Linked DNA regions of Drosophila melanogaster. The gene in region 1 interacts genetically with each later gene. Each region holds a gene or a part of one and is shown in the gene's direction. Other genes may lie near its edges.

Region 1 (4,859 bases):
GTTTGTGGTGCAGCGATGCAGGACGCTGGAGAACATGGTGTTCGCCATGGCAAGTTAAGCACTAGACAATCATTTGGAATGTAACAGAATATCTGGTTTGCGTAAGTTTACCCTTCTTGACTCAAGCCTCAGCCCTGCGAAATGTGTCTTCTGCAGTGCTTCTGGTGCCCAGTTCAATTTATTACTGCCAGAGGTTTACGAACCTGAACCCAGAAAGTCGGGTTTAAGAAGCGAAGGAACTGGCTCTTTATTTGAATTGCCTCAAGTCTGGGCATCAACTGAGGGAGTGCAACTCCGGCATTTGCCGCGCGCATCTATGCACCACAGCCTGCTTCACCTAGAAAACTTGGCCTCGCCTTCCCGTCATAAAAGATCACCTGAGAAACGCTTACTTCTCACTCGCATCCTCTGCACTGAATCCTCTGCAGCTCCTTAGCCTCTTAGCTCCTTGACGTGCTCTGCTCAACTGCACATTAAAACAACTCAATTCGCAAATAAGCTTCAACTCAGGAAGTCAAAATCGGCAGCTTGTTTTACCGTAATAGGCGATTTTTCAGACAGATGGTTTGTCAGTAAACATTCCAATACGATCTTAAACGTCTATAATACTCGACCAACATCACTGCTGGTATTGCATCCGATATAATTAAAAGTCAGCCGTCCTTGAATATTGACATTAGCAACTGGAACATACCCCAAAACCTTAGGCTCGCGGACCCAGAGTTTTATCGTTCTCAACAATTTATTACTGCCAAAGCTTTAAGAACCTGAACCCATCATGTCGATTGGAAGAAGCAAATAGACATGCTCTTTGTTTAAGACTGGGCATCAAGTAAGGCAGTGCAACTCCAGCAATTGCCGTGTGTGCGGATCTAAGCACCACACCCTGCTTCATCAGGAAAACTCAGTCTCGCCTTCAAAACATAAAAGATCACAGACTGAAGCTTGCCTCTTACTCGCATTATGCCGAAGAACCACCTGCATTGCCTGGAACGTGTGCTGCTCTTCTTGCACAGGATCTTGGTAAGGATGTTTTGCTCCTAGCCTCTGGAACCATATTAGTGAGGAACCGTTAATAAATCTTCGTCCGTGCTTATTAGCTAAACATGAAGAGGACTTAGAATTTCTGAATCAATTGATGTCTTTGCAAGCCTTCAGCTCGATATCTGTTGACAAGTATGCTTATAAAAAATGTGTACCCACAAAATACACTATAAAGAATTTATTTAAGTATTTAAGTGTAAGCAAATTGTCGATAACGGCATTGCTGCCTATCTAAAACTTTTGATGAAAGCTGAAAGTAGACCAAATTACTTACTTTATTATAAACATTAATATATAACATACCTTTATTTAAATTTTTCAATATTTTTTTTAATATCGGTAGAAAGTTGGAAAAAATACGAAAACTTAAAACAAAATTAGAAATTGTTCAAAAGTGTGGAAGTGACACAAGATTTTCGACAAATCGATAGAAATTTACAATACTAAAAATATATGAAAAAATGTCATAAAATTTTCAATAGGTTTGGGCGTGGCAGTTTTGGGAGGTTTGTTATTATATTGAATAAAAAAATTTCGTTTATTTAAGCACAGAACCCTTAATTTTTTACCTTTAAAGTCAAAAATTCAACTTATTTCTCAGCTTGTAAACAGTTTCTTGACAAACTGTATATATATTAGTGGGACACAGCTATAACATCGAATAATAAGACCGTTTTATAGTAATTATTATTGTCTATGGCGCTATTAGTAAATGTAAATAATAAAATAATACATCAGCTTGTGTATTTTCGTTGTTTGAAAATCAGAAATTTCCGTTTGCTTTAAATGGCTAAAGCGTTGCCGCTCATCAGTTGTGTATGATTTGTGGATGCTTTGCTAAACGCATGTTATTAAACTTTTGTTCATTCCAGGACTCTTGGGCCGATAGCATAAATGAGGAAGATGTGGAGCCCAAATTTAAGTATCACCGTCTCGCAAATGATTTAAAATACATGCTCAACGCTGATGTCATCACTTGTAGCGCTGTACACTTAAAGGTGTGAGCCAACCACATATTATATAAGTATTTTAAAAAACGTACATATTTAGTTTCTTATATTTGGAACTTTCCGAGGACGTGTTTGTATATTTGACCATCAAGGAAACTCAGTCTACTCAAATCTTAGCGCTAGCGAACGTCACACTCACCAAGTGGCAGTAAACAATATAGATGTAGATCATAAGGGCGAGTATGTGGCCACATGCTCCGACGACGGAAAAGTGAGTATCTGAGCTTGATAGCAATATAAAACTTAATTCTCTTTGCCTAGGTTAACATAACGGGATTGTTTAGCTCTGATAACAATCACAGTCTCAGCTTTGGCAAATTTATAAAGGTCGTATCACTGGAGCCCGATTCCAAAGCTCACATTAAAAGATTTGTAGTGGGTGAGTAATATGAATATTTTCTGTTAATTTATCGAGAGCAATTATTCTTTTTATTATTCTTTTGCAGGCGACGACAAACTTATCTTGTACGAGCGAAACTTGCTAAAGAAGCTTAAACCAGTTGAACTGTGCTCAGTCGAAGGCAGTGTTTTGTCAATCTGCTGGCATGGCAACTTTATTGCCTGGGCAAGTCACATAGGAGTTCGAGTCTACGATTTAAACGAAAGATGCTCACTTGGATTAATAAAGTGGGAGGTTCCTCCTCAGGAGCGATTAGAAAATTTTCGATGCCACCTTCGTTGGTCCAACAAGCATACATTATTAATTGGCTGGGTAGACACTATTCGAGTTTGCGTAATTCGAAAGAGAAATTCAATCGAAGCTTCAACTGGCAATCTGCCTGTCTACATTGTGGATCCAAGTATGTAAAGTTTATTAAAAAATCAACAGTGATTTACCGTAACCAAAGACATTAGAATAACAAGATGCGTAACGCTATTATTATTGAGTTTTATTATTACTAGTTTTTGTTCAAGAGCGTGAGAGTGGAGAGCTCTACTGCCATCAGCTCTTTTCTACGTATACAGAGACAGCTTGTATGCACACGTATGCTTATTCATTGTAAATTTGACAAAATGTGCCCTTCACTTTACAAGTTCTTAGACTTTAAATCTATATTATATATGATTAATTGGTACCATATAAAATATTCATGTTTTGCATTGCTTAAGGCAATGATATTATTATTTGAATAACACTTAGAAATAATAAATAACAAAATAAATTTCAAGTATGACTATATTAGAATATTTATCATTCAAGTATTCAGCTTGCGACGTGTTAAAAATTAGAGTAGACATTGGTTATTAGGTGCTTATAACCGCACGTCGTGCCTCAAGAATTCAACTTTGCATTAAACAGGTAGCATATTTGTATTTATTTTATAAATATTAACTTTTAACTATGTATGTTTGTATTATTTTTATAAAATATATTTTTAAATATGTATTTCCTTTTTTTGAAAATTATTGTTTTAAATTACAAAAGTAATAATAACAATTCCGGATCGGAACTTAATTTTATTTATAAGTTGAAATATTGATTAACTTAATGTTAATGCTGTAAAAGGTATTGCTCACAGTAACCTGTTGAAATTTTGCAACGAAATTGACCAAAACTTCAAATATGTAAATTCGATTCTTATATCAAAATTGATTTCAGTTTGAAAATCGTCTTCTAGCCCAAGTAGGCACACATATACACGTTTTCGTTTATTGTTTTTACTCACAAAAGCAAGCAAATATTATATTTATATTTAGATTTATTAGGCTCTCAGTTATTTTTTCTAAAGTCCCCAAAAAATTGCCGGCATAGGACAAAATCAATGAGTGGCCGTTACGCATCTTGTTATTCTAATGTATTTGCCGTTACTAAGTGTTCTGTTGACCGTTTTGCAGGTGTAAGGAGGGGCGTGGCCAAAGTGTTTTTGGTATACCGATGGCAAGAGAAATAATAAAACAAAGAATAATTGAAACAGTTCAGGTTCGGTTTATGGGCGTTAGAGTAGGCGTGACAAAATTTTTTTTTTTAAATTTGCAAGATACAAAATATCAAAAGGGGTTGTGGCAACATTTGAACACACAACAAACTTGACCTGCGTCTATGCCTTTAGAACCTGTATGCTTAATCTCAACTTTCTGGCGTATGTAGTTCCTGAGATCTCGACGTTCATACGGACGGACAGGCCAGATCGACTGATCAAAAAAAATGTATATATATCCTTCAGATGGTTGGACAAACTTCTCTCTATGTGTTAAATACTTTTCAACGAATCTAGTATATTCTTTCATTCTACGAGTAACGGTTATAATGAAATATTTTGGGCTCACGCAGTGAAATTGAAAATCCTCACATTTATAATTTCACTTTACCATTGCAGTCTCGACATTTCAAACAACTTTCTACGTATGTGGGCTTGCACCATTATCTGCAAAGCAATTGGTTGTTCTTGGCTTTCGCAAGGAAAAAAGCTCTTGTTTTAAAGCCCTACGACCTGTATTATGCGTTATTGAATACAAAATGAATAATAGCGAGGAAATCTGCACAGACAGTTTAACTTTACGCGGCTTTGAGGAGTACACCGTGAATGACTATAGTCTGGGTGGCATAATCGAGGAGAATCGCTTTTATATTGTGGCCCCAAAGGATATTGTGGTAGCTAGTCTTATTGAAACAGATGATCGTATAGAATGGTTGATTAAACACAGGTAAGCCAATAGTCCTATATTTTCATGACATTAATACACTAATAATCTACACTACTACTTTTTCATCGGAGAATTACTGTTAGGTATTCATATTTTGGCTTAATTACTGCTCAATTTGTTCTACGGACTTATTGCTAGGTAAACCATCACAAAAACAGC
Region 2 (6,830 bases), on another chromosome or scaffold:
ATCTGAATGTATTCGATGGCACCTACAACAACTTTTAAATAACAACCTTAACGTTATACAGAAATTTATTTGTCTGCGTTTAAGTTCAATAAACGCACCAAAATGGCTAGAAAAGTATAGTGAATAATCTTATCTTATAAAACTCATCAAGGAACACTTAAAGTCAAATTAAAATTCTTAAGGGTAAACGATGTTTCATATAGTACAAAATAAAACAAATCTGCATTGCAAGTGTTATTGGATCCGAGATAAAGTATCTTAAATGACAATCATAAACAGAAATCTGCTGTGAGCCATAAATATGAATGCTTTTAAAAATATTACTAGGTTAAATGAATGAATAAATGAATATATTAAGCCGTTTTTCAATTCTCTTTCAGTATATCAGTTTACGGAAAATAAAAAACTGCTTTATTTTAAGAACAAATATAATGATTTTCGGGTTGAGATCCCTTTTACTGAAAGACCCGAGAAATATATTAACCTTTCCAAGGAACCCATTATAAATATTCGGTACCCTTTGAGCCAGAAATCCAGGTAACTCCTTCGTTATGGTTAGTGTATGACAAATGTGGAAAAACTAGCGCGACGGGCGATTGGCGACTAGCGCGACTGGCGGCGACCAGACCAACAAACAATGTCCAGCGATTTCCGATCGACAAGTTGGGGCCAAGAGCGTGATGAACGCGTCAAGAGGGGGTGCGAGGGAAGTCGGAATGGGAAGAGGAGGGAGCGAGAAAGAGGAGACGCAGCGTGTGCAAGAATGCTTTGCTCCGCGAGTGTCATTAACTCGTTTGCCTTATCTCGAAAAACGTAAACGAAGCTGCATGAGAGCTTTATTTACGTATGTAGGAATGTGTGCGTTTGGGAAAATTACCTGCGAAAGGTGCCGCCCTGCCGCCTAATTGATAAGTTTTGGTTTCATATTCGTCTATGTAAGTAATTAACTATGGTAATTTGGGAAATTGGGTATATTTGGAGCGCGGCGTCTTCTTACCTGTCGCACATCAATGACGCACGCTGCCGACGCCGACTTCAGCAGCGACGCTGGCAGAGGAGTTTACGTTAGCTCTCTTGCTATGTATCTCTCCCACTCGAACACAAACGTGTTGCGCTCACCAACACCAAGGCGAAATTGCACAGCTGAGCTGGTGAAAATACAGCGAATGCGGTGCACAAAACAGAGGACCGAAAACAATAACGTTATGTCAATTTGTTGCTGCCTGAGTTGTTCTCTGCCTGCTGCTCCCGTTTGTTGTTACTTTTTTTTGGCACGTGAATCGACAATCGCATTTTTCAAATTCTTGCACTCATTCGCTTTTGTGCATTTGTTTACGTCACTGGCTCATACACACACGCACGCACACCCGCACACATACGCGCGACTGAATGAAAGGCGCGTAAAGAAGAGAGTGGAAATGCCAGAAAGAGAGCGATTAATTTGGCAAAGCGCCGCACGCTCAAATAAACAAATATTTTATTTATATTTCGTGTCCCAATCACTGCGCCATTGTTTAGTACTATTCGTTAGTGTCTGCTAATGCCCATTTTGCACAAGTGTCTTATGCATGGCAACAAACAATACAATAATCGAAATTTCCACTCGCGTTTTGCTCTTGGCCCGCAATCACGGGCTGCTGCAACTGGCAGATAAGCGAATCCGATTAATAATCTAGTGCGCCGCGCATTGTTTTTGGTTACGCGATTATTCAAATGGCTCGGAACACACTTTATTGCATTTTAATTAATATCTGCTGGCCTCGCGAGCAGCAAAATCGTCCGCTGCACTGAACCGAACGCGATGAAAACAAAGATGAACTAGCGATGGAACAGATGGCGATGTGAGGTCCAACCTGCGATATTTCGATGTTTGCTAAGTCGAGTAGTCGATTGGTCCTCTCACTCGATAAGTTTTTAAATTTTCGATATTAAATTTTTAACTTTGTTGAACTTAACATTAAATTTTATACTCCCATTAAGTTGTAGACTGTTTCCAGTTATAAGCTTATTTCTAAATGAATAATTTAAAATTCCTGCTTCTTAAAGGAACAAAAACAAATATACGCCTTCCTCAGAATTTAAAATTTATCTTTACCTCTGTTATTTGTCCAATTAAATTAAGTTTTTATATAAAATCATCGATAACAGAAACCGATAAGCAACCGAAAGACATCTGTTATGCAAACGAGTGGGCAGTCCTTTGATGGGCGTAGAAACTCATTGATAAAAACAAAATCACTTAAAATTATTAGTTTGGGGGAGGGATCAGGATTGAAAGAACCGGGAGCATGTCGGAGCTTAAGGCCCCGTCGCTGCAATCTCTGCTGGAATCGGAGCGAGGATCCACAGACAGCCTACTGGCCGAATCCCTGCAGCTGGACTTCGAAGATGTGAGTTGGGATTACCCGAAAATGGAATGGCCTAGATAACACTTTATCTTGATTCATCCAATTATAGCTTGATGATGCCGAGTTTGCAATACCGCCCACCGATGTGCTGCCTACTTTGGAGGCGGTGCTCAGTGAATTTGAGGCGGATTCGGATGTGGCCTCCGAGTTTGGAATGCCGGTGCCCCATGCCACGCCCACGCCCTCGATTGGTGAGGATTCCACGATCAGAACAGACGGCAGAGGTGGTGGAGGATCCATAATGAGGTACACCCTCCTACACGGCATCTCGGCACAACTTTCCTCAGCGGCGGAACGTGTCAATGCCGGAGCAGCCAGTTCCTGTGCCGTGGCCGCATTCATAGCCATCGGAACATCGCATGGACACATTTTGAACTTCGATGTAACCCAAACCCTTAGGTGGGCCCATCAGGACAAGCATGGTCAGGGTGCGGTGGCCAGTTTGGCTTTCAATGCGGATTCAACGCGACTTTTGGCTGGTTTTTCTAGGGGATTGGTTGCCATGCTGGACACTCATACGGGTGATGTTCTCCGTGAGCTGTTCGACGTCATAACCCCAAACACCGGCGTACTGCATGTCAAGTGGACCTCGAGATCATCACTGGCCTTGTGTGCCGATGCCGGCGGATCGGTGTGGTCTCTTAGTTTCACCCGGAAGCTGGGCATCCGTGGCTGCCAATCGAGATGCCTCTTCTCCGGCGCTCGCGGAGAGGTCTGCGCCGTGGAACCTCTAATAATGGACTCCCAAGGACGCCATGAATTGGATCAGTACTGCATTGTGGCTCTGGCAACGTTATCCAAGTATTTTATCGTCACTGTCCGACCAAGATTAAGGGTCATCAAATACCACGTGCTTCAGGGACCTCCTGATTGCTTACCTCTCCTCGCCTGGCATTTAGTACTCATTCAAGCGGCAGATACTTCCCGCTCCGTGGACCCCGTGATTGTCGTGGGCCGCGGGAATCAATTATTCTTTCACCAACTGTTTGTCTCGAACGGACGAATAACGCTTTTATACCTTCGACATGTCCAGCTGCAGGGGAGTCTCCTCTCCGCTCACTGGCTGGGACCAAAGTGTGTTGCCTCATTGGACACGGCGGAAATACTTCATCTTGTGGATGTGCGATCCAGTAAGGAACTAGAATGTATGGATATGGCCAACGCAGGACTGGTCTACGGATCAGCGCAGTTTAAAGGACTAGCCACTGGCGGAAATGTGTCACCTGCCTTCGCTTTAGCCGGCTCAAATGCCTGTTATAACTCAGTGGTTTCAAGAGGAACCCAGTTGTACGTTTTAGGCGCCAGGTCCCTGCATATAATTGGAGTTAGAACTTGGTCAGAGAGAATAAGCTTCCTGGTAAGATCAAAACTGTGGATTTAAATGGAAAATCAAAGCCTCAACTTTATCGTTTCTAGGTAAAACACCATCGATGGCAGGAAGCCTGCCAACTGGCACTTGATGGCTACATTGCCTCTGTGGATCGCCCGAGGAAACGTGCTCAAGCCAAGGAGCGTATCATCATGCTTTTTAAGGAATATATCGCCAATTCCGCCCGGGCACCAGAGTATTGTCTCGGCGCCATTGTTAACTGCTTGATCACCGTGGGTGAACTGGATCTTCTGTGGACACAGCTGTGGGAAAAGTTACACAACAGCAGCACTGAACTTTTCTTACAGCACATTTCCGAGCATATAGAAAAGGAAACGATACATAGTGTTAATCCAGTGATATCCCAAGCTTTGGTGGATTACTGGCTGGAACACTCCCCTGCCAAACTTGAACAGCTTATCCTCAAACTGGATTGGATGTGCCTGGATCTCAACCAGGTGCTTAAGGCTGTGAAGAAGCATCGTCTGTTTAGGGCTCAAATCTACCTCAACACCCAAGCTTTGAATGACTATACGGCGGCGCTCACGGAGCTCCTTCCATTGGTGACCCCAGATGAGACGGATTTGGGCAACTGCCTGCTGGTCTACGTTTCTAGTTGTCTGGCTGGAAGAGAATATCCCAGCGGAGAAATTCCCGTGGAGCTGGTGCATCAAGTCAAGCACGATGTCCTGCGTTGCCTGACCTCCCAGCATTCCAAGGAGAATGCCGGCGATGAACTGCCCTATCCCTATCTTAGAGCTCTCCTCAAGTTCGATACTCGGGAAACCCTAAACGTTATATCGCTGGCGTTTCAGGAACGAGAGTTTAGCAACGAGCTGGGAATCTCGCATCGCAAGAGGATTATCAATCTGCTACTGGAAATCATGTCGCCCGAGAATGCAACGGTAAGGTTTGTTAACCATAATTGCTAGTCATCCAACAAAAAACTCTTTATCTTCCAGTGGGCGGAGATTGGTTGCTTGCTAAACTTCATTGCTCAGCAGATTTCAATGCAATGCCTGCCGCGGGATAGACAGCTTCTGGAACGAGTTTTGAGCCACTTGGCGCAGGAGGAAATTGCTAACGAGAGCAGTCGCCAACACTCCGAGCGAGAGAATGCATGGCACGAGCTACTATCCTCCAACTGCCTGGCCGAGATCAGCAGCGATGAGGAGCAGCTGCGCTTAGCAGAGAAGGCGAAGTGCTATTGCGTAGTGGAGTACCTATTGGAGAAGCTTGAGCGATACGATACCATCCTGGATTCCTACATCCGAAACGAAGCCAGGCACGAAACCATGTTTGCATATATGGAACGCCATGTTGCTTCACCAAAGAGAAGCATTTTCCGGCAGTTGAAAAGGAATCTAAGGGAGCTACTAACGATCAATGCCAAGGAAACCACTCGCTTGCTGTCTCTGCACTATCCAGAAAAGATTAATGAGCTTTTAGATAACCTGAGAAGGGAGGAGAACTTGTTATATCTGTTCCTCAAGTGCCTCAATGATCGTAAAAGCGAACTGGAAGCCAGTCAAATGGAGTTACTACTGGAATTATATTGCAAAATGGAGTCGTCGTCTACCGTCGAAGAATTCCTTCGATCCAATTCGGGTTATCGCTTGGAGAATGCCATTGCCATAGCTGAAAGCCATCACCTTAACCGATCTGTGATTTATCTGTATGAAAAGCAAGAGAGCTATGCGAAAGCCTTTGAGTTGTCCATGGAACTGCTTAAGTCCGCTGCTGGCGAGGAAGCAGCCAAGGAGGCACAGACTATATCGGCTCTTTTGGCTCGGTCTGTGGAAACGTTACCAGCCCAGGAACTGGAACGCTGTTGGTTCGCTCTCTTGCAATATATTCTGCCGCATCAGGAGCTTCAGTCCATTACCAAATCTCTGCTGCACGAGGCCTCACAGCATATCGATCTGCATAATTTGGTTCAATTGATTATGAATACCCACAATGTGTCAACTAGTTTCGGTGATATAAAGGATCTTCTAATGGGTATGCTGGACAGTTCGAGGCACAAAACGGAGGCTTTGCGAGCATCTGCTGGAGCCCTGTGTCAAGATCTTCACCTGAAGTTCGTCAAGCGCTATCAGCATGCGCATCGTGGACTTTGGGTGACCACCACAAAGTGCTCCATGTGTCGCCAAAGGCTGTACGATCACAGCCAGGTGCTAATATTTGGCGGATGTGGGCATGGCATACACGAGCAGTGCATGGAGGAGTCGGAGACTCAGTTTGAAGAATGTCCACGGTGCTTTACGGCCATTCCAGATCAAAGTATTGGTTTGCCGCGGCCAAATAAAAATCTAATCAGCATTTCCTCGTCCTTGGAAATGGGTGCCTTGCAACTGAAGGCACCGCCCAGGCGATTTATATAGTTTCATCGTCCTTTTTGTATATTCCATTTATTCCTCTATGTATTTATTGTACAACTATGTGTATTGTATGTGTAAGTAAAAAAATTGCATGAAAAATCCGTATTTTTATGGTTCTTGTTTGAGTCATTCCTTTACTTTCGTATAAAATGATCATCATTTCAATTGGATATATTTACAATTCAATACAAAAGTATGTTTATACTTCAGTATGTTTATACTTTCTAAAGCACACTTTAAATTATATTAATCACAAATTGCCATTTTTCCTTTAGCTTACAGGCTGTCTGGTAGGATTATCAGCAGGAAAAGTGTTATTATAATGCTGTATGAATTCCGTGCATTGTTCAGCTGTTAAATAAGAAATTCAAAGGTTTAAAAAGTGATGCCGCAATTCAAGATTACAAATTAGCTTACCCTTGGGAAAAGATAGGGTTTCATAAAGTTTCAGGTTTCTCATTTGGAAAAAGCGGTATACGCTGTGGAATATTAGATCATCCTTTGTCTTATGAGCCGCCTCCAGAAACTTGCGAGCTGGCACTTTTTCCAGACCCATTGAATTCTTAGCCAGCCTTAAGGCATCAATAACTTTGCCTTGACCCAGCATTACTTCAATGATGATCTAAAAAATATTGTTAGTTCATACATCTTAGTAAAAATATCTAATTATAG

The links.
Region 2: of lt (region 1) and Vps8, changing one enhances a phenotype caused by changing the other (phenotypic enhancement), as found in Drosophila melanogaster (one study listed by BioGRID).

The regions. Positions count from the first base shown.
Region 1 is NT_033779.5:22,923,066-22,927,924, forward strand, and holds the start of lt (light), read left to right. Parts: upstream 1-1,729; 5' UTR 1,730-1,830; coding exon 1,831-1,860; intron 1,861-1,916; coding exon 1,917-2,042; exon of another isoform or gene 2,043-2,094; coding exon 2,095-2,265; intron 2,266-2,315; coding exon 2,316-2,433; intron 2,434-2,500; coding exon 2,501-2,854; intron 2,855-4,372; coding exon 4,373-4,700; intron 4,701-4,859.
Region 2 is NT_037436.4:6,490,649-6,497,478, reverse strand, and holds Vps8 (vacuolar protein sorting 8), read left to right. Parts: upstream 1-2,181; 5' UTR 2,182-2,288; coding exon 2,289-2,390; intron 2,391-2,457; coding exon 2,458-3,765; intron 3,766-3,824; coding exon 3,825-4,682; intron 4,683-4,739; coding exon 4,740-6,161; 3' UTR 6,162-6,249; downstream 6,250-6,830. Other genes in the region: bulli, read right to left, coding at 6,430-6,509, 6,576-6,780. UniProt on the Drosophila melanogaster protein: Part of the class C core vacuole/endosome tethering (CORVET) complex involved in endo-lysosomal vesicle trafficking and lysosome biogenesis by facilitating docking and fusion of endosomal vesicles.